Alligator mississippiensis: one gene and its partner. The main gene of each other region encodes a partner of the protein of the gene in region 2 in a complex. Links are inferred from orthologs where the notes say so. Each region holds a gene or a part of one and is shown on either strand. Other genes may lie near its edges. The genes, in order: WNK3 and KLHL3.

The links.
Region 1: the proteins of KLHL3 (region 2) and WNK3 are in contact, whole or in part, in a crystal structure (PDB 5NKP), measured with the Homo sapiens proteins. The link is inferred for Alligator mississippiensis from reciprocal best matches to the Homo sapiens genes KLHL3 and WNK3. Residues at the interface, in NP_059111.2 of Homo sapiens: Lys312, Arg339, Phe355, Gly357, Arg360, Thr386, Phe402, Gly404, Ser405, Gly407, Ser432, Ser433, Tyr449, Gly451, Arg454, Cys456, Ser481, His498, Arg528, Tyr577; in NP_065973.2 of Homo sapiens: Glu537, Cys538, Glu539, Glu540, Thr541, Glu542, Val543, Asp544, Gln545, His546.

The regions. Positions count from the first base shown.
Region 1 is NC_081831.1:27,927,268-27,935,718, forward strand, and holds the start of WNK3 (serine/threonine-protein kinase WNK3), read left to right. Parts: upstream 1-4,595; 5' UTR 4,596-4,673; intron 4,674-5,275; exon of another isoform or gene 5,276-5,659; intron 5,660-7,720; exon of another isoform or gene 7,721-8,272; intron 8,273-8,432; exon of another isoform or gene 8,433-8,451. Other genes in the region: pre-rRNA-processing protein TSR2 homolog, read right to left, coding at 1,522-1,614, 1,703-1,876, 2,937-3,028, 3,207-3,297, 4,432-4,512.
Region 2 is NC_081832.1:72,934,701-72,944,025, reverse strand, and holds the start of KLHL3 (kelch-like protein 3), read left to right. Parts: upstream 1-5,569; 5' UTR 5,570-5,679; coding exon 5,680-5,693; intron 5,694-9,325. UniProt on the Homo sapiens protein: Substrate-specific adapter of a BCR (BTB-CUL3-RBX1) E3 ubiquitin ligase complex that acts as a regulator of ion transport in the distal nephron.

The DNA of each region.
Region 1 (8,451 bases), on a different chromosome or scaffold from region 2:
CTGGCATTCACTTCTGCCGCTGATCCCTGCTTTGGGAGACTTGCAAGTTTTCTTTGGAGCTCAATAAATGTAGACCCCCATAAGTTCAAATGATCACACTATTAACTGATCAATCCAGCAATATGTTTAAAGCAGCCACACCTCCAAAGTAAAACGATCAAGTCATAAAAATAGCCCTCCAGCTACAAGTGCCAACCTGATACAAAGTTAGTGTTTCAAAATGTGTATTGACTCTATAGCTGGTTTCTATCCAGCTTTACTCTGCATGGGTGGTAGGGCCCTACAAAGCATGCCCCCCTCTTGCAAGCTTTGCAACTGATATTTTTTTTCCAAAAGGTCTGCTGGGGCTTTCTATATCCCCTGAAGCATTTTACGCTTTTTCTAGGGCAGACATCCCATTGCAATCTATCCCTGATTATGGAGCCTGGCAACATGGAAATGCTTTGAATTCAAAGCATCCCCACCTCTTGCAATCCAGGTTCAAATTAAAGCTGGACAGAAATCAGCTATAGAGTTCTCACACATTTCCAAGCGCTGATTTTGTAACTAGTAGGCTCTTTTTATACATGGATGGCCATTTTTGTGGTGTGATAATTACACTTTGCACATGTGGCCTGTCTCAATTTATTGCGTGACTGACCAGCTAATTGTGTAATAATTGCTTTGCATAGGTCGCCTGTCTGAACATTTTGAATGGGAGGGATTCCAGAGGGATCCAGTCTCAGGAGGCTGTACCCCTCCCCTATCACCTCGTGGTCCCTGGCTGTGGCTAGCCACTGGGGGAAATGGGACCCTCCCCCAGGCTCCCTCCCCTACTTGTGATCCACATCCGGGGATTTTTCATGATTAACAAATCACTGTAATTATTTATTCATAATAATACAGAGGTGGATTTTTCCACAGGGGAGGAAGGGGACTTTGTACAGGTGGGGGGGGGGGGAAGGGGCGAGGTGGGGATGCTGTTATACTTAGCCATTCACCAGCTTATCCACCTGAGCCAGTCATATCTCTGCCCTCTCTGGTGGTGTTACATACAGCCATTCCAACCCAGAGTCAGCCACATCTCCCTCCCCCCGACCATTCCCCTTGTCTTATACGCAGTCATTCCACCCCAAAACTGGCTGCATGTCAGTCCTCTTCCTGGCATTATACTCAGCCATTCTACCCCAGAACTGGCTGCATCTCCCCTGCTTCCTTTGTTACATTCAGCAATTCCACACCAGAGCTATTCACATCTCTGTCCTCCCTTGTCGTGTTATACTCAGCTGAGAGCTGGAAGCATCTCAGCCCTCCTTTATGATGTTATACTCAGTTGTTCCACCCCAGAGCTGGCTGCATCCTGGTGCCAGGCGAGTCCAGAGGCATCCATCTGTTGAGGGCAGGGAGGGGGTTAGCTGGAGGCCACCAGCTTCTTCCTAATCCACAAACAGTCCATCTACCACCTGCCAGCATACAGTCCATGATGTCCAGAGGCATGTGGGGTGGGGGGGGAGCAGGAAACACCTCCTCTGCTTTCCTCACTCACTTCTTCTTCTTCTTCTGGACTAGGGTCCAGCCATCCTCAGGGGCGGGTGGAGGGCTGGGGGGTGGCTCAGCCCTGCTGCACTCCATGGCCTGGGGGTGGTAAGGGAGGAAGAAGGGAGGTTAACACAGACCCTTCCCAGGCTCATGCCCTCTTCCCTATCCACCTAGACATCCATACCTCCGGCATTTCTTCCTCCTCCTCCTCCTCACTGCTCTGGGATTCAGGCTGGGCCTGGGCTGCAAGCACACAGGCCCGGGGAGCAGCCTGGGCCAGGCGAGCAATGGCATTGTGGGCGGACCCCGTCTCCCCACTCTGGCACTGCCCAAACAGCCACTGTAGCTGCTGGCTCACCTGGGGAGGGCAGAAGGGGCAGTGATGGGATGTGAAGGGATAGAATGCTGCCCCTAGGCATCCCAGAATGCTTTAGGGCAGAGCACCCCCAGAATCATGCCAGCATGCCCTGGGGTAGGCAACACTGCCTCCCAGTTATCCCAGCATGCCTGAGGACAAAAAGCACACCCTCCCCCAGCCATCGTGGGGCAGAATGAATGTCCTGGGGAAGAGACCCTATAACCATCCCAGCATGCCCTGAAATAAATAACACTCCCCGCCAAGCCATCCCAGAGTGCCTCGCAGTAGATAACACTCCCCCTCATAACCCTCCTAACATATGCTAGGGTTGATAAACATCCCAGCATGCCCTGGGGCAGAGGGCACCCCTCACACCATCCCAGCATGCCTTGGGGTAGACAACACTCCCCCACAGCCATCTCAATATGTCCTGGGATAGACAATACCGTCTCCTCTATCCCAGGATGACTTGAAGCAGAGAATCTTCCCAGCTATACCCAGAAAGCCCTGGGGGATAGGAACACCCCCACCCATCCTAGAATGCCTTGGGATAGAGCTATCCCAGAATGCCTTGGGGCAGAGAATGCACCCCCACAGACATCCCAGAATGCCCTAGGGCAGAGGTTCCCAACCACCTGGCACTGGTGGGTTGGCTGCTGGGTCACGGCACAAGCCCCCCACTCAGAGCCCTGTCTGTCTGCCTGGGCAAGCAGCTTCCAGGGTCACAGCTCAGCTTCCAGGGTTAAAGCCAGGTGGCAGGGTAGCCCTGGGAGAGGGGCAGCCAGTTCTGTGTGCCCCATCCCACTCCAGTGGAGCCACAGTAAAAAAAAAAGGTTGGGAAACACTGCCCTAGGGCAAAAGACTGTTTCCCCCTGCCTCAGGCTATCCCATGACACCCTGGGGCACAGGGACTACCCTCAGCTATCCTCAGAATACCCTGGCTGGATGGGGGCAGGAGGATGTTTAATGTGGAAGGGCTTTCCTTCCCTGCCCTAGGGCATCATGGGATTGTACCTCCCCCCCGGAGCTCCTTCCCAGCAAGCCCTGGGGCAGGGCTCACCTGAGCCAAACTGCCATCTTCAACAACAGTGTCAAACTCACGGTCCAGCACCTCGGCCAGGAAGTCCTCGATCTCGTCCTGCTCCAGGTCAGCTGGGGGAAGGGCAGAGTGAGGGATGGAACCCAGGTGTCCGGGCAGCCCAGATCCAGTCAAGACCAGGATCAGGGAGGTGCTGGGCACTGTACAGACCGCCCCCAGCCAGCATCAGGAGGTGCTGCACATCCCTGCCCCCCCCCCCCCCCCTCGCCAATTCTTCCTGCCCCTACGTACCGTTGTTGTGGAAATACTCCTCCACGGCACCCCCCAGCCATGCTGCCTTCTCGGGCCCATGGGTCCCCCCAAAGCCATTCTCCACTGCAATCTAGGGTGACAGGTTGGGGCTCCTCAGGATCAGGGGGGCTGAGGGGTCCCCCAAATCTTCCTCCTTCCCTTCCCCATCCCTTTGGGATTGAGAAAGGGGGTGAGGATCTTTTCTATAGGAGGTGGAGGTCTCATAGATCTCTCCTGCCCCTAAGCACTGCTGTAGACGCAAGGTCTTGTACAAGGGATGTCCATCTTCCCTCCCCTTTGCGTGTTTCTATAGGGAATCTATATAATGTTTATGCTAGAAACCTATATGGCCCTTGATATTTATCTGGGGATGCCTATATATGCTGAAGGGAGCTCTAGAGGGTAGCCTGACACCCCCTACATTTCTATGGGGAATTGCATAAATTGTATAAGCCAGGGGACTTCTACAGGTGTTCAGGTCTATAAGAGCACCAACTACTCCTGCATTTCCATGGAGGCTCCTATAGGTGCAAGGGGTTCTATACATGTACCTCCTACCCCAGTGTTTCATGGAGACTTCTATATGCACCAGGATTTCCATGGGGGCACCTGCTACCCAAGCATTTCCATGGAGACTTCTATAAATGCTAAGATCTCTAAAGAGGCACCTGCTATTCCTGTCTTTCCACAGGGACATTTTCTATATGTACTAGGAGATCCAGCACCCCCCCTAGTGTTTCTACAGGGACTTCTATAGGTACCAGGGGCTCTATAGGGGACCCTGACTCCCCCTATACTACTGTAGCCATTGTTATGGGTACAGTGGTGAGTGGTTCTATAGGAGCACCTGCCCCACATTTCCACAGATTTCTATACGTGTTGATGGATCTATAAAGGATCCAGCAACTCCCCTAGTGCTTCTGTGGGGATACCGACATATGCCAGCGGAACCAGGGGACTCTGGTACCCTTTTATACTTCCATATGTGCCAGGAATGGTTCTGTCGGGGCATCTATTACCCCTGCGTTTTCCCCGGTGCCAGGCAGGGGATTCGGTCCCACACACGCGCTAATGTGTGAGTGGGGGTTTCTATAAGGGCCGCGCGAGTTACATAGGAGCTCCCGCTCCTCAAATGCATCAGCAGGGACGTCTATAGGCGCTAGCGGGGATAGCTATAGGAAACCATTCACCTATAGATGCCTCCAGGGCCCTAATGCTCCCTCACCTGAAGCGCAGTCCAGCTGCCCAATACAGCCCGGACCCCCTGCCCGAAGAGGCCACGTGTCTCCTCCCTGGGTGCCGCCATGACAGGGCCGGTCAGGCGAGCCAATCGAGCGCGGAGGACATCGATTCCATTCCTCTTCCTCCACCCGGTGAGGGGAGAAGCAATAGAGTGCCGTTTTCATCAATCGGCGCGTCGTTTTCGCTGAACGCGGCGCCTCCTACCCACCTGCCTTTTGCCCTGAGGTCGGAAGTTCGGGTCTCGCGACTCGGGTTTTACCGGGAGGCGGGAGCTTTTCAATTTCGTGTTTGCATGATCTTTGCAAGAGGCCACAGCTGCGGCTGCTGGTGTTGGGTGGCATGTAACAAGGGGGGCGGGGTGATTTGACCTGGCAGAGGCATTTATTGGTGTAGGTGACCTGCAAGAGAAGAGAGAGGGGTGCAGCTAAGGAAGCAAACAGGAGCCTGGCTGCTCTTGTATAACAGGCCCCGCACATTCTACCAGCTGAGGGGATGGGGGCCCCTAGGCCCCTGGCCTGCATGGACTATCAGCAGGGTCCCAGTAACAATAGCAATATCCGGGTGGCAGTGATTGGCTATGTCTTGGCCCCTGGAGGTGCCCACTGTCTCTAGGCAGCCCCACAGAGACTATGGCTGTGTGAGGGTTGGCCACACTAGGCCACCATATTCGTTGTATTTGTGTGACTGAGTCATGCCCACTATCTCTACACAGAGGGCCGTGGCAGTGTGGGTGTTCGGTGACTAGGCCATGCCCACTGAGGCCGTGGCTGTTTGAGGGTTCGCCAGCTGGGCAGTCACATTGGTTGTATTTATGTGACTGGTCTTTACACAGAGGCCCATGGTCATAAGGGCTGAACTGGGTGGCCATCTTTGGCCACCCTTTTGATGTGACTCCATCAGATTCCCACAGCTGGGGAAGGCCCACTGTGGAGCCAGGGAAGGGAAAACGGTGTGTGAGTGTGGGGGCTTGTGTCCCTCCCCCCCTTCCTCGGGGCTGGGAACATGGTTGCCTGAGATAATCCCCCCTTCCCCTCGTACAAGCCAGGGAGGGTGTAAAAACTACAACTCCCAGGAGGCTTTGCTCCTCCCTCCCTCCCAGCCTTTGGACATGCGCAGTTCTCGCAAAGGTACTCGCACTAGCCATTCTTCCCCCGCCCCAATCTTTGCGCATTCGTGGCATCCCCCTCCAGAGTGAATGGATGAGGGATGGGGTGAGGCGGGGCGGGACTGGTGGAGATGGGAAGGGATAAAAGTGGGGGGCAGGGCTGGAGTCAATGGGGAAGAGGTAAAGGGGGCGGCGGCGGCAAATGGGGTTCGAGTAAGTAGTGGGGAGGGGTCGAGTCAGTGGGGTAGGGGATAAGTGGTGGGGGTGTTAGGTGGGGAATAAGTGGAGGTAGAGGGCCCTTGGGTCAAAGGGGAGGGGGGGTGTGCTAGAGAGAGAGCACCTGTGTGTGTGATGTGGGGGCAGGAATCCAACACTGGGGGTGGTTAGGGTTTTATTGGGAGGGAAGGTCACTGTACACCACCTGCCAAATATACACACAGAACCCAGCCATCTGGGACACACTCAGGATTCAGGTGTCCAATACACACACACACACACATCCCCACACACATGTATGCATGCACACACCCCCTCAGGCATCTGGAATGCACACCCACACTGGTGCACACGAGACCCAGGCATCTGAGAGACTTACGCATGCACAGGGGATACATGTGTCTGGGATGAATGTGTGCATACACACACACACATACAAATGACCCAGGTCTGAGATGTACACACACACACACACACACACACACACACACAGGCATCTGAGAGATGTACACATGCATGTGCACACACATGCCCTAGATATCTGAGAGATGTATACACACACACTCAACCCAGGTATCTGAGATGTGCACAGACACGACCCAGGCATTTGAACACACACGCACGACTCAGGCATTCAGGATGCATGCGTGCACACAGAACCCAGGTGTCCAGAATGCATGCATGCGCATTCATCATTCACACACACACGCTACTCAGGTGTCCAGGACCCACACACACACAGAACCTAGGCATCAGGGATGCGTGTGTGCACATACACACAAACCCATTAGTACCACAAGACTGCTGATGACCTGGGGTATTAGCTGGGGCCAATGTCAGTTGCAGTCACACCCCGAGGGCAGGGTGCTGTGCTGTGGTGGGTGGAGCATCCAGAGAATTGGGGTTCATGCAGTACAGTCAGCATGTGTCCTTCCCCCCATGCATGCGGTGATGTGGGGTGCTATGGAAGGGGGGTGTAGTGGGGGTATGGAGGTTGTGAGGGGGTGTGTCTGTTGCTGGGGTGGTTGAAATGGTTCATAGATTCATAGATGTAGGGTTGGAAGGGACCTAAGTAGATCATCAAGTCCGACCCCCTGCCCTGGGCAGGAGAGAATACTGGGCTTATATGACCCCAGCTAGGTAATTGTCAAGCCTCCTCTTAAAGACTCCCAAGGTAGGAGCCAGCACCTCTTCCCGTGGAAGTTGGTTCCAGATCCTAGCTGACCTGACTGTGAAGTAGTGTCTTCTAATATCCAGCCTGAACTTACTCTCAAACAACTTATGGCCGTTATTCCTTGTTACTCCGGGAGGTGCACGGGTGAACAGGCTGTATTTGGAAAAGGAGTGTGTGCATGTATTAGGAGGTTGAATATAAATTTGTTGGAAAGGGATTGTGGGAGAGGGAGTATGTGTCTGTATGTACATGTGTGTGTGTTGGGGGAGTGTGTGTCTCAGAAGGGGATTGTATTGGAAATAGCACACCTGGTTTCTGACCTCTGCTGTGAATGAAGAGTGGGGTCTGGTGAGTCAGACTGCTGGGGACTGGGTGCTTGAACCTCTGATCCCCAGGTCTGGCAGGGAGCAGATCTAGTGATTAGAGCAAGGGATTGGGAGCCAGGATACCTGGGTTATCTCACTGGGGAGCTCCCTTCATATATCAGAAAAATTATGTAGCAACCTGCTGTTCAGGGGGGTCACCTGGCTCGTGTCTGTCTGTCTAGACAACTGAGTTCTGGGGGGAAAAAGGGGAGGGTGGTCTCTCAGATGCCCAGGATCTCTGTGTGAGCGTGTCTGTGTGTCTGTCCTGGACACCTGGGTTCTTGGGGGTGGGATGGGGTGGTGTCCTGGATGCTTGGGTACTGGAGGGAGGGGTGTGTTTGTGCATGTCCTGAGCACTTGGGTTTGTGGGGGGAGTCCCAGGTGGCTGGGTTCTGTGTGGGTGGGTGTATCCCAGGCAACTGGGTTCTGGAGGGGGGTTTGTGCACGTGCATGTGTCCTGGGCGCCTGGGTCTGGGGGGTGGCAGTGTGTGCGTGCGTGTGTGTGTCCTGCAGGCCTGCGTTTTGTGTGTTTGTGTGTGTATGCGTGTTCTGGATGCCTGGGTTTGGGGGATAGGGTATCCCAAATACCTGGGTTCTGGGTGTGTCATTGGGGGTGGAGAAGTGCCCTAAACACCTGGGTTCTTGGGATTTGTGGGGCTGTGTGTGTGTGCCAGATGCCTGGGTTCTGGGGGAAGGGGGTGGTCTGGGTGTGTCGTGTGTGTCTGTCCTGGACACCTGGGTTCCGTGTGCATGTGTTCTGGACACCTGGATTCAGTGTGTGTGTGTGTACTGGAGGCTGCGGGTGTTGCTGAAACATCCCCCCCCTGCCCCCACCCCGTGTGTCGCTGGGAAGATGCTGCCATCGCTGGCCTCTTTCTCCCTGTCTTTTTCCGGGCACCTTTGACAGCGTCCAGGAGACGAGATTGCCTGCAGGGAACCAGCTGACCTCTCCCTGGGTAGTCGGGTGAGCTGCAGTCCCCTCACCCCCATCCCCTTAGTGGATGGGATAGTGGGTAGGGGGGTTCCATGGTTTCTTCTGTGCCAAGAAGAGCTAATCCTAGCTTTACCTGCTCGTCCCCCGGAAGTCCTTCCTTTGGAGGAAGGAGTGGGTGGGTTGGGGGGGGTGGGATTTTATCTCTTGGC
Region 2 (9,325 bases):
TGTTGGATTTTTTTTTTTTATACGATAGGCAGCTGTTTTTATGTATGTCGTGGAAGCTCCATCTTCCATTTAGACAATGGACAGGATGGTCTTCCTTAAAGCTTAAAAATACATGGCTCACAATCCAAGAATTTTAAAGATTATTCCAAATAATTCTGGCAAGATACCCATCTGTGCCATGCTAGAGGCTTGGTATGCCACAAGTGTGATGTGATATATTCATTAGAAGACTTAAAGGTAATTGTCCATTTTTTTTCTAATCTTTCAGCTAAAGTTAATACAAAAGGTATCACAATACTGATTAACTGAAGCAGAAGTCTCTTAAAATACCTTCTCTACAGAGGGAGACTGCATCTAGTGAGCTGAAACAGCATGAGACATCTGAGCCCTCAAATAATGTGACACAAACTTTATAGAGGAATAGAAACCAGGGCTTAGAGTAGAGTGGGCTGAATCCCAAAATGGAGTTGACAAGGCTTATGATTTTAGATTGAACAATGTCTCATTTGTCTGAGGTCCTGAGCGAGCTCACGAGAGAGTCTACGTTATTTAGGTATCACTAGACTACCTGGTAAATATAGATTCAAATAGGCAAAGGAATGTGCCTGTGGAAAAACAGCACCCCCTAAGCCTTTTAATGCTGCACCTGTAGCTTGTATGCTTGTGCTAGGAGTTGCATCATAATGTCATACCTCATAATGTTCTGGTGGATAAAGCAGTGTGCCCAAGTTTATTTGACATGTTAAGAACGAGAAATGGAAAGTAAAATCTAAAAGGGGAAGGAAACCAGAGGAAATGAGCAACCAAGGGTAATGGTGATTTAGGCCTAGACCTGGGAGGTGGCGGGAGAGAATTTTCTCTAGCATAGATGAGACTGGTTTATGCCAGTATGCCAAAATCGCTCTTCAGCACTAGGTACAGGGGTATAGGCTGTAGCCGTGTTGGTCTAAGGACATAGGCAGACAAGGAGTTGGTTTAAAAGAAGATATCAGATGTACCTAAAGAACCTTGTCTGCCAGTTAAACCTTCCAGCATGGTTATGACTTGCATCAGTAGCCTGCCCAAACTAAGGAGGGTATTACTCAAGTTTTAAGGCATTGGTTTGGCAGGGAGGGGTGGGCATAACCCTGCACACCTTGCAAATGGGCAAACTGCTACGTTCTGCCTCTGAAAAGTTTCCTCCTGTGTCACCTAGCTAAGAGTCAGTGATGCTGGAACCCAACAAGGCTCTAGACACTAAATCACGACCCCTCCCAGAATGGGGAAACAAGCATCCTCTGCTTTTCTTTAAATTACTTTAAAATGTGTTGTGTGCCCATATGTCCAGTTTGGGGCAAATATATAACCATTAGGGCAATCTTTTCTACAGAGAACACTTTTAGTAGCATCAGCATAGTGTTGATTTATTATTTGGTTTGTTTCACTTTCCTTTGGTCCATTTACAGGAACATGGACCTCCATCGCCTTTTCCTGAAGCATTTCACCCTGTTTAGGTATTTATTCACACACCTTATCTACCCCTTCCCCTCCACCCATATTTTGTGTTCCCACTGCTGCTAATTTTTACTTTGTTTACTCTCTAGTGTAACATGTTCCTGCGACGCTCCTTTTCAGATGACCCCGGTATAGTTGCAATATGGATTTAGGGAAGGCAGTTTGCATCTGTGCCGTGTTTGGCTGTGGGTGAGGACACTTGCTTTTATTTATTTTTTTTTAAATCAAGGTGTAGTAATGGTTTTGCAGCTTAGCTGTTCGTTGTTACCTTGTGCGAGCAGAGCAGTAACTTTTTTGCATTCTAAAATTCATAGCCAGGTTCCAATTGTGGCCATTCCTTGTCTTCATAATGTTCTAAATTTGAAGAGTTTGGGGGGTGGGGAGGAGTATCAGCATGACGCAAACCATTTAAACATAGAGCAAAGGGTTGATACTGCGTACTAGAATCCAGAAAAGTTGCATTTTTGTCAAGGTAATATGCAGGCTAGTGGTAAAGCAAGATTAACATAACTGTACATCTGCCGCTAGAGGGCAACATTCGCAGCTTAAAAAAGAAATTCATCTACCATCATTTTTTTTTCTTTTCTGCTGCAGCTGAGTCTAGGGTTACGCAGGATCTTTCCATGCTGCCTGTGTAGAAAGAGTACAGGACATTTGGAGATAAGTAAATGAGGCCTACATTCTTATCATTAAACTGAGTCAAAACCTTAAGGGTGCAGTAATGAATCCAGTGCGTTTATCTTTGACATTTAAGCTGCCAAAAACACATGGATCCCCAGATCTGCAAACAGCCTTATTGTGAATCCCTACTGGATTCTCACAAAGGGTGTCCTGCTAATTTGGGGCCTTACAAGGATATCCTAATCCTAGTAGGAGTTGTTTTGCTGAACATTTTACCTTGGTTTATCCTGGGAAAAAGACAAAAGATAGGCTGACTGCTCTAAATTACAGCAAATTTGTACAGTAGTACAAATTATATCTTTGGGTACTCAAAAGAAGTGATAAGCATGTTACAAAGGGAGTAAAAACATAAGATTTAGGTTTTGTTCTGGTTTTTTTCCACCTCAAATGTCTCTGATCTTTGATGCTTGAAGCTTTGGGCATTCAAACAGACCCATTCACACTTAGTACTGATCACTTTTGATTCCACTTGAAGTGCAGTGGAGCTGCTGGGGCTGAAGACTTCTGAAGATTAAGTCGAAGAGATCCCCTGCTGGGCTCCCCAGTATCAACTGGCTGGTTTCAATAGTTGCTTTTGAGCTGATGCTCCCTGCCCTAAAGTTTACAATCTAAGTGAGACCCATCAGACTTTCACCGATTTGATTCTTTACTGGTAGGGATCACAGATGCCAGAAGTTAGAGAGACTTTTCTAAATAAAAATACCCTGACGAGCAGCCAAGACTTGAAGATGCAGGCTTGGAATCGGTGCTACATGTTGAGTCAGAACGTGCCAACTTTACACGCATGCTTCAGGAAACCTCCAAACTCTTTGACTTGCTAATTACTTGGAACAGTCATGAGAAAATTCCCATCACGAAGCATGAGTGATTTCTGGATAGCGAGTAAAATATCTTCATTTTCATGCCCCTCAATCTTGTAGGAAGTAGCAGGCAAAGTTTGTGCCAGGCACGACTGTTTTACAAGGCTGCTATAAAGACAATCACTGCTTCCTTGACTGTATCTTTGTTCTAGCCCAGCACTTGCTACCCATCGAGTGCTCTAGTCTTGTCATTGGCACTAGACTAGGGTGCATGAGGTGAGGTCTTCTGTCAGTGGCCTTTAAACTGAGAGGCGAGTACCTTGTGAGTTAGTAGTCACTTGTGTAATACCTCTATGCTGCTCAGGGGCTTGGCACAGAACCTACCTGTGCTCCTTCTGTCATCAGTGAGGAGCTTTGCCATTTTGCATTCAAAGAGAAGGACAAGGGCTCTCATTTCACTACCGCTTTTAGTGTTGTTACTTTTGCTGTTTGCTTTTATGCCCTTACTAGCTTTGGGCTGTGTTCTGGGAGCATATGACTAAATGGGCACTAGTAGGATCTGAGTTAAAATCTTCCCACTGATCCCTTCCAAAGGGAACATCTGGGCAACTTTCTCCTCGGGGGTCTGCAGAATCCTGTATGAAATTCTGGTTGTGTTTGTCTATAAGGAAACAGGCAAAATTGTTTAAACTGTGGGACTAGATGGCAGGAGCCTTGGGTGCTATTCCCAGCCTTCCTTCATATACTATGTGACATTGGCTGACTTCATTTCCCTATGCCTAAGTTTAGAGTAGGGATGATAAAATCTAGTTTTACCTCTGTTATATTTGCACAGGTTCTTGGGTAAAAGGCACTGTAGAAGGACAATTTATTAAATTATTATCATGGATAAAATTTAAAAGCAATTGAACTTAGTTAAAAATGACTGAAGGTACCCAATAGAATGCCTCCTATTAAGGTGGAAGTTTAAAAGGCTAGGGTTATATAATTGTACAAAGGAGATGGAGTATTACATGGCTTGGCAAAGGCTTTTGGACAGTTCTGCACATCTCTTCCCACACTACAAGAGCGCTGAATGAATGGAAAAGCAAACAAGAAAGCAAATTCCCCTCTGTGCTCTGTACAATTAACCTTTGGAACTTGTTGCTACAGAACATGATGGGGGAAATAATAGCTTTGGAAAATTCATAGATGATTATAAGAATCACTCCAGCAGTTACACTAGCTGGAATAAAAATGGGAGGTGTTGTAAAAACCAGTGCTGGAGGGCTCAAACTGTGACTGCTACCATCTGGAGTCTAGAAGAAACTTTGATCAAATAATAGATAAGTTGGCCTGGCAGGATATGCATATCGTACGTAACTCTGAATGGATGAAATGTACACTATTGGTCTCTTGTTAGGAAATGATTAACAGCCAAAATTAGTGGACATACAGCATATACACACTCACTCTATAATAAACTGCTAGCGTCTCCAGTGCTCTACTAGAGTAACATTTAGCTAAGCTACAGGTAAAGTTTTGGCCTTGACTTCCGGTGTTGAAATACCTTGGCACTGTCAACCTATTTGACAAAGAAGCAACAGCCAAAAAGCATTGGGGGAAGCATTCTCCAAATGATCTCAATCGCTGCCTGTCACTGCAGTGTCTGGGGGTGTTTTCATGAAGACGGACCTTTGGAAAGCTGAACGCTGCCCTCTGAAAAGTGCGCGGGGAGGTAGTAAACCACGTTAGCCTGAAGTCCGGCCGAAGGCAGGGCAGAGTTGCACGTTGCACACTATTTCAGGGACGCGCATAATAAGCTCGTACGTCTCGGAGTTGGTTGCGCTTCACGCTTTGCCTTCTGTCTGCGACGCGAGCGTGCGTGGAGGAGCGGCGCTCGTGCCGGGGCGCGTGGTGCAGCCCCGCGACCCCCGTGCTTGCCTTGTACGCGGTGGAGCTGCACGATCCTGGGCCTGCTCCCGTGTTCCTGACCCGACTCTGGGGCCGAGGTGGTGCCCCCGGTCCCAGCAAAGCGCCCCGGTGGTCTCTGCGCCAGGGGCTCCACGCGATGGGACCCGACGGCACTTGGAAATACCGAGCAGGAGCAGAGTCCCCTTCCCAAGGGGACATGTGGGGAGCCTCGCGCTTCTTCGGCTTCCCACGTGAAATCCTGCCTGCATCCCCGCGTCTCTACGGCGAGGCCAAACCCACCCTTGACCCGTGTATCCATGTTGCCGGGGTCTGGGGCTGCTGTCGCGGCAGGCGGGGACGCGCCAGGCGGCCGCGGGCGAGGGGCCGGCCGGCGGCACGGTCCGAGCAGCCCGGGGGCGATGCAGGCGGGTTTGTGTTGGTTTTTAATTCGTGTTTTGGGCCAAATCAGTTCAGCTCAGTCCTTCGAGGCTGGGCCCGAGACGCTCCCCCAGCCCCGGCGGGCATCTTGCGGCCGAGGCTGCAGGCCGCGGGGGCCCGCTGCCCCTTCCTCCGGCGGCCCGGGCCCGCAGCCCGCCTCGCCGCCGCCGCCGGGGGGAGGGGTGCTCGGCGGCGTTGCCGGGAGACCGGGCGCGGTGGGGGGGGGTGGGCGGGGCTGCAGGGAGCGCTGGGTAAGGAGCCGCCGCCGCCGCTACTAGCGCCGCTGCCACCGCCGCCGCCGCCGTGCTGCTGCTGCAGGGGCCGGCCCGGCCATGCTGCTCGGCGCGCCCTGAGCGCCCGGCCCCGCGCCGACATGGACCAGGAGAGGTGCGTGACGGCGGGGGAGGTGTGTGTGTGTGTGCGTGTGCGTGTGTGCGCGCGGGTCACGGGGACTGCCCCCTCACCCCCCCCTCCCTGGGCAGCTGATCCCAGATCAGCTGCTGGGGTGTGTGTGGGGGTGTAGGCGGTGGCTGTGTGTGGTGTGTGTGGGGGAGGTGTGTGTGGGTCTGTGGGAATGTGTGTCTGTGGCGTCTCCGTGGGGGTGTGTGCGTGTCTCAGCGGTGTGGGGACGGGGAGATTTAGCCCCTTCCCCCCACTTTCAGATCCTTGCAGCGTGCGTGTGCAAGGAGACGTGAGCTGCAGCCGGGGACATGAGCCACAAACGGGGTTTTTTTTTTTTAAATTAAAACCCAAAGGAGCCCAGCAGTTTCAGGGGAGATGGAGCGCGGCTTCCCCTCCCGCGCGCTGCTCCGCGGCCGCCTGCTAGCCAGCGAGATGCCACCCGGGCACCGGGCGCAGCAGGCACAAGTTGATCCCGGTGACTCTTGCTGTCCCTCGGGGGCCACGGTTGGCTCTGAAGCTGGGGGGGGGGGTTCAGTGTGGACAGGGGCTTCTTGCCACCCCCTTCACCCAGATGTACGTTATTTTCTGCATCCTTCTGAGCCTGTGCAGCATCCTCGGCGAGGAGCTCCTCCATCTGCCGTGAGCTGCAATAACCCATTTAGTTTTTGCAGGGCATGGAACAGGGTTGCTGTACGAGCCCTTAGGATGCATTTATTAGCCCGGGCAAGGTGACGAGGAGCCCGAGGGGGGCTGGCAGGCCACGTGGCTTGACCTGCTGCGGCAGAGCCGCGAACTTCATGCCACCAGATCCGCGCCGCGAAACAATCCTGCGCTCTGCTTTCTTTGTTTTTTCCTCCCCCGCTTGTGTTTCTGCTGGTGGAGTTCAGTTCTGGCCCCACCGTCCGCTCGTTAGTGCTATTTGTAGTTAATGAACAAAAGTAGACCAAGTTTGCAAAGCGCCTGCCAGCCTATTTACACGTCCTCTGTAAGCAAAAACCAGTGACCCGTGCTTTATGACAGGCGGGGGAGACCCCAGTAGCTACGGGCTTGATTTTTATACGGTAAATCGGCCCTTAACTCCTTGTTTTCTGTACGGTGGCTAGAACAGCGCCTTGAACCTAGCACAAGTACCGAGCCTTGTTATTGCTGCTTGGGAACTTCATAGATACCAGAGGAATCTTAAATATTTACTGTGCTCTACCCAGCCTTTTTCCTCGGCTGTCCCTGTGACTTTCTTACGCCAGAGTCTTAACACCTTCCCGCTCAAAACCAAGCGTGAAGCTAGTCATTTCTGAAAACAGGATATGCCGAGTGCTTCCTTTTTGAGCTGTGCCTGTGACCTCCTGCATCTGGGGGCAGGGAAGCCTTTGCTGAAGGAAGCTGCCAACCTTTGCAGGTTGGAGAAAACTTTGCTTCTCCAGTGCCCTGTATCTGAAGTGAACTGGGGGGGTCAAACCCTGCTGTACTTTCTGGACCAGTTACTCTCCCTGTAGCCACTTTTTTGCCCAAATACCGAAAGGCGAGCTTCTACCCTCAGGTGACTCAAGGATCGCAACTGCTGTTTGTGTACTTACTTACTGCTCAAAATGCAACTTTCAGCCTGGATGTCCTGCTGTTTAATGCATCCTAGATGTAGTGTTTCCAGTCGGTGTTTAAATGGCCAGCTGCGGATGTTTCACCGTTAGCATCTTCGAATCGTATACTCGTTCTTTTCTAGATTCATGTCATTTCCTTCCAGTTCTTGCCATGAATCTAGTGGTGGAGAGAGTTGACAGGAGAGGAAGCTGGAGCCTTGTGCTTCTTTATCCCAGCATTTGACCTTACGGGCAAGGGATTGTTGTCATCATCACCGTTAATCACTTCTGTTACGGTAGTGTTCAAAAATCTCTGTTCAGTTTGGGGCCTGGTTGTCCAGGACACGGTAGGAACACAGCTGTCTTTAGAGTGACCCTTCCGATTTTTCTCAGCGTCATTTTAGACTGGCCTCAGGGAACGAAGAGGTGTCACAAGCTGTATGTCTGCTTAGCCTCTGAAAGTGAAGCATCTAATTGAAACTGCAGGGGGATTTAGGTCAGCGGAATATAATTACCCAAACTAACAAACTATGGCTGACGTTTAGGGCTGGGAGACGAGGCTCTTTAATGATCTGAACCAGTAACTTGGAGTTTTGCCCTCTCGGAGGAGACAGTTGAGTTATTCACAGGCTTCCCCATTCTACCAGAGCACGTCACAGAAACGCCACAAAAGCTGCATAGTGTGCGCTGAGAAACGCAATGAATAGGTCTTGAAATGATGCCGTCAGGTACTTGATCTCAGCGTGTCGGACGGTGAATGTATCAGGTTGGTGATAGGTTGTATTTTTTTTGGTGGCGGTTCTGCTGTTACTCTCATGCATGTGCTCAGAGGTTTGGCTGGAAGACTTTAAAAACCCAAATAAATAATTAAGGTCTCAGATATGACCTCTGTTAGGATGTGTGTGATGGGGGTAGGGGGTTGCCTCTGGAGTTTAAATGGATCCCTCTTTCCCTTTGTTAACTAACCTATTTTTAAATCAACTAAGAGGGCGAGACCTCAGATCGCTTCAGACCCAAGCTCGAGACCTGCCAGTACTCGTGTGTTACACATGTAAGCTGTTCAGCAGGGCCAGTTGCACGGGTACAAGTTGTGCATGTACATAAACGTATGCAGATTTGGGGCTTTGGTCTGAGTGGCTCGCACCTTGCAACCTACCTAGCTTACGTCAGAATTGCAGTTTTCTGCTCAGCGTTGATCTGACCTGGTTTTGGCAAAAGATCTGTGGGGTGTTTTTGGCAAAACTACACAGCGGTAATTGGTTTTAAAAAAATACAGATGCTCTTTGAGAAAATGAAATGCACCTTGTTGTCAAGAAATAGCCTGAAGTTACGTTAATGAATCGGATGACGAATTCCTGGCAATCTCCGTTTGCATAACTATACCTTTTAAAATGATGGATTTTGGGGGATTTGCATGAAATTGGTTTCTCATTCTGTTTCTCAGGAAAAAAGCCAATATTTGCATCAGAAAGCAGCCAGTAATCATTTTCTTTAAGAGTAATTTTTTGCCCTATTTTTGAAGTTTTATGGAATTTGCTTTTTGTCATGGGCTCTGCTTTTTGGGTTTTGTTGTTTGTAACAACAATCTATACCAACTGCACATTTTAACAGGTTTAATGTGTCCAGCTTGTAGTAATAGGCAGCGAGAAAAATGCTGTGACGAAACAGGAAAACAATGCTACCTCAAAAACAAACCAAAATCTTTTCTTTGTAGGCAAGGGTGTTTTTTGTACGTGTATTTTGAACAGAAAAGCAGAAGTAGCTAATTCTGTTCTGTTGTCCTAAAATCCTTTGAAAAATCTGCTGCTCAAGATACTGGAACTGAGAATGTCAAAGGCACCAACAAGCATTTAACTGCTCAACTCAAATTGAACATTGAGGATTTGTGGAGTCAATACCTTTCAGCTCCTTCGACAATTCCAGTCCATATTTTAATGTTATTTTTATGCATGCTTAAAAAATACATAAACCAATTTTTACTTCCCATACTTTTAATTATAACATTTGATGATAGTGTGTGTGTCTAGGAAACCTTAGGCATAA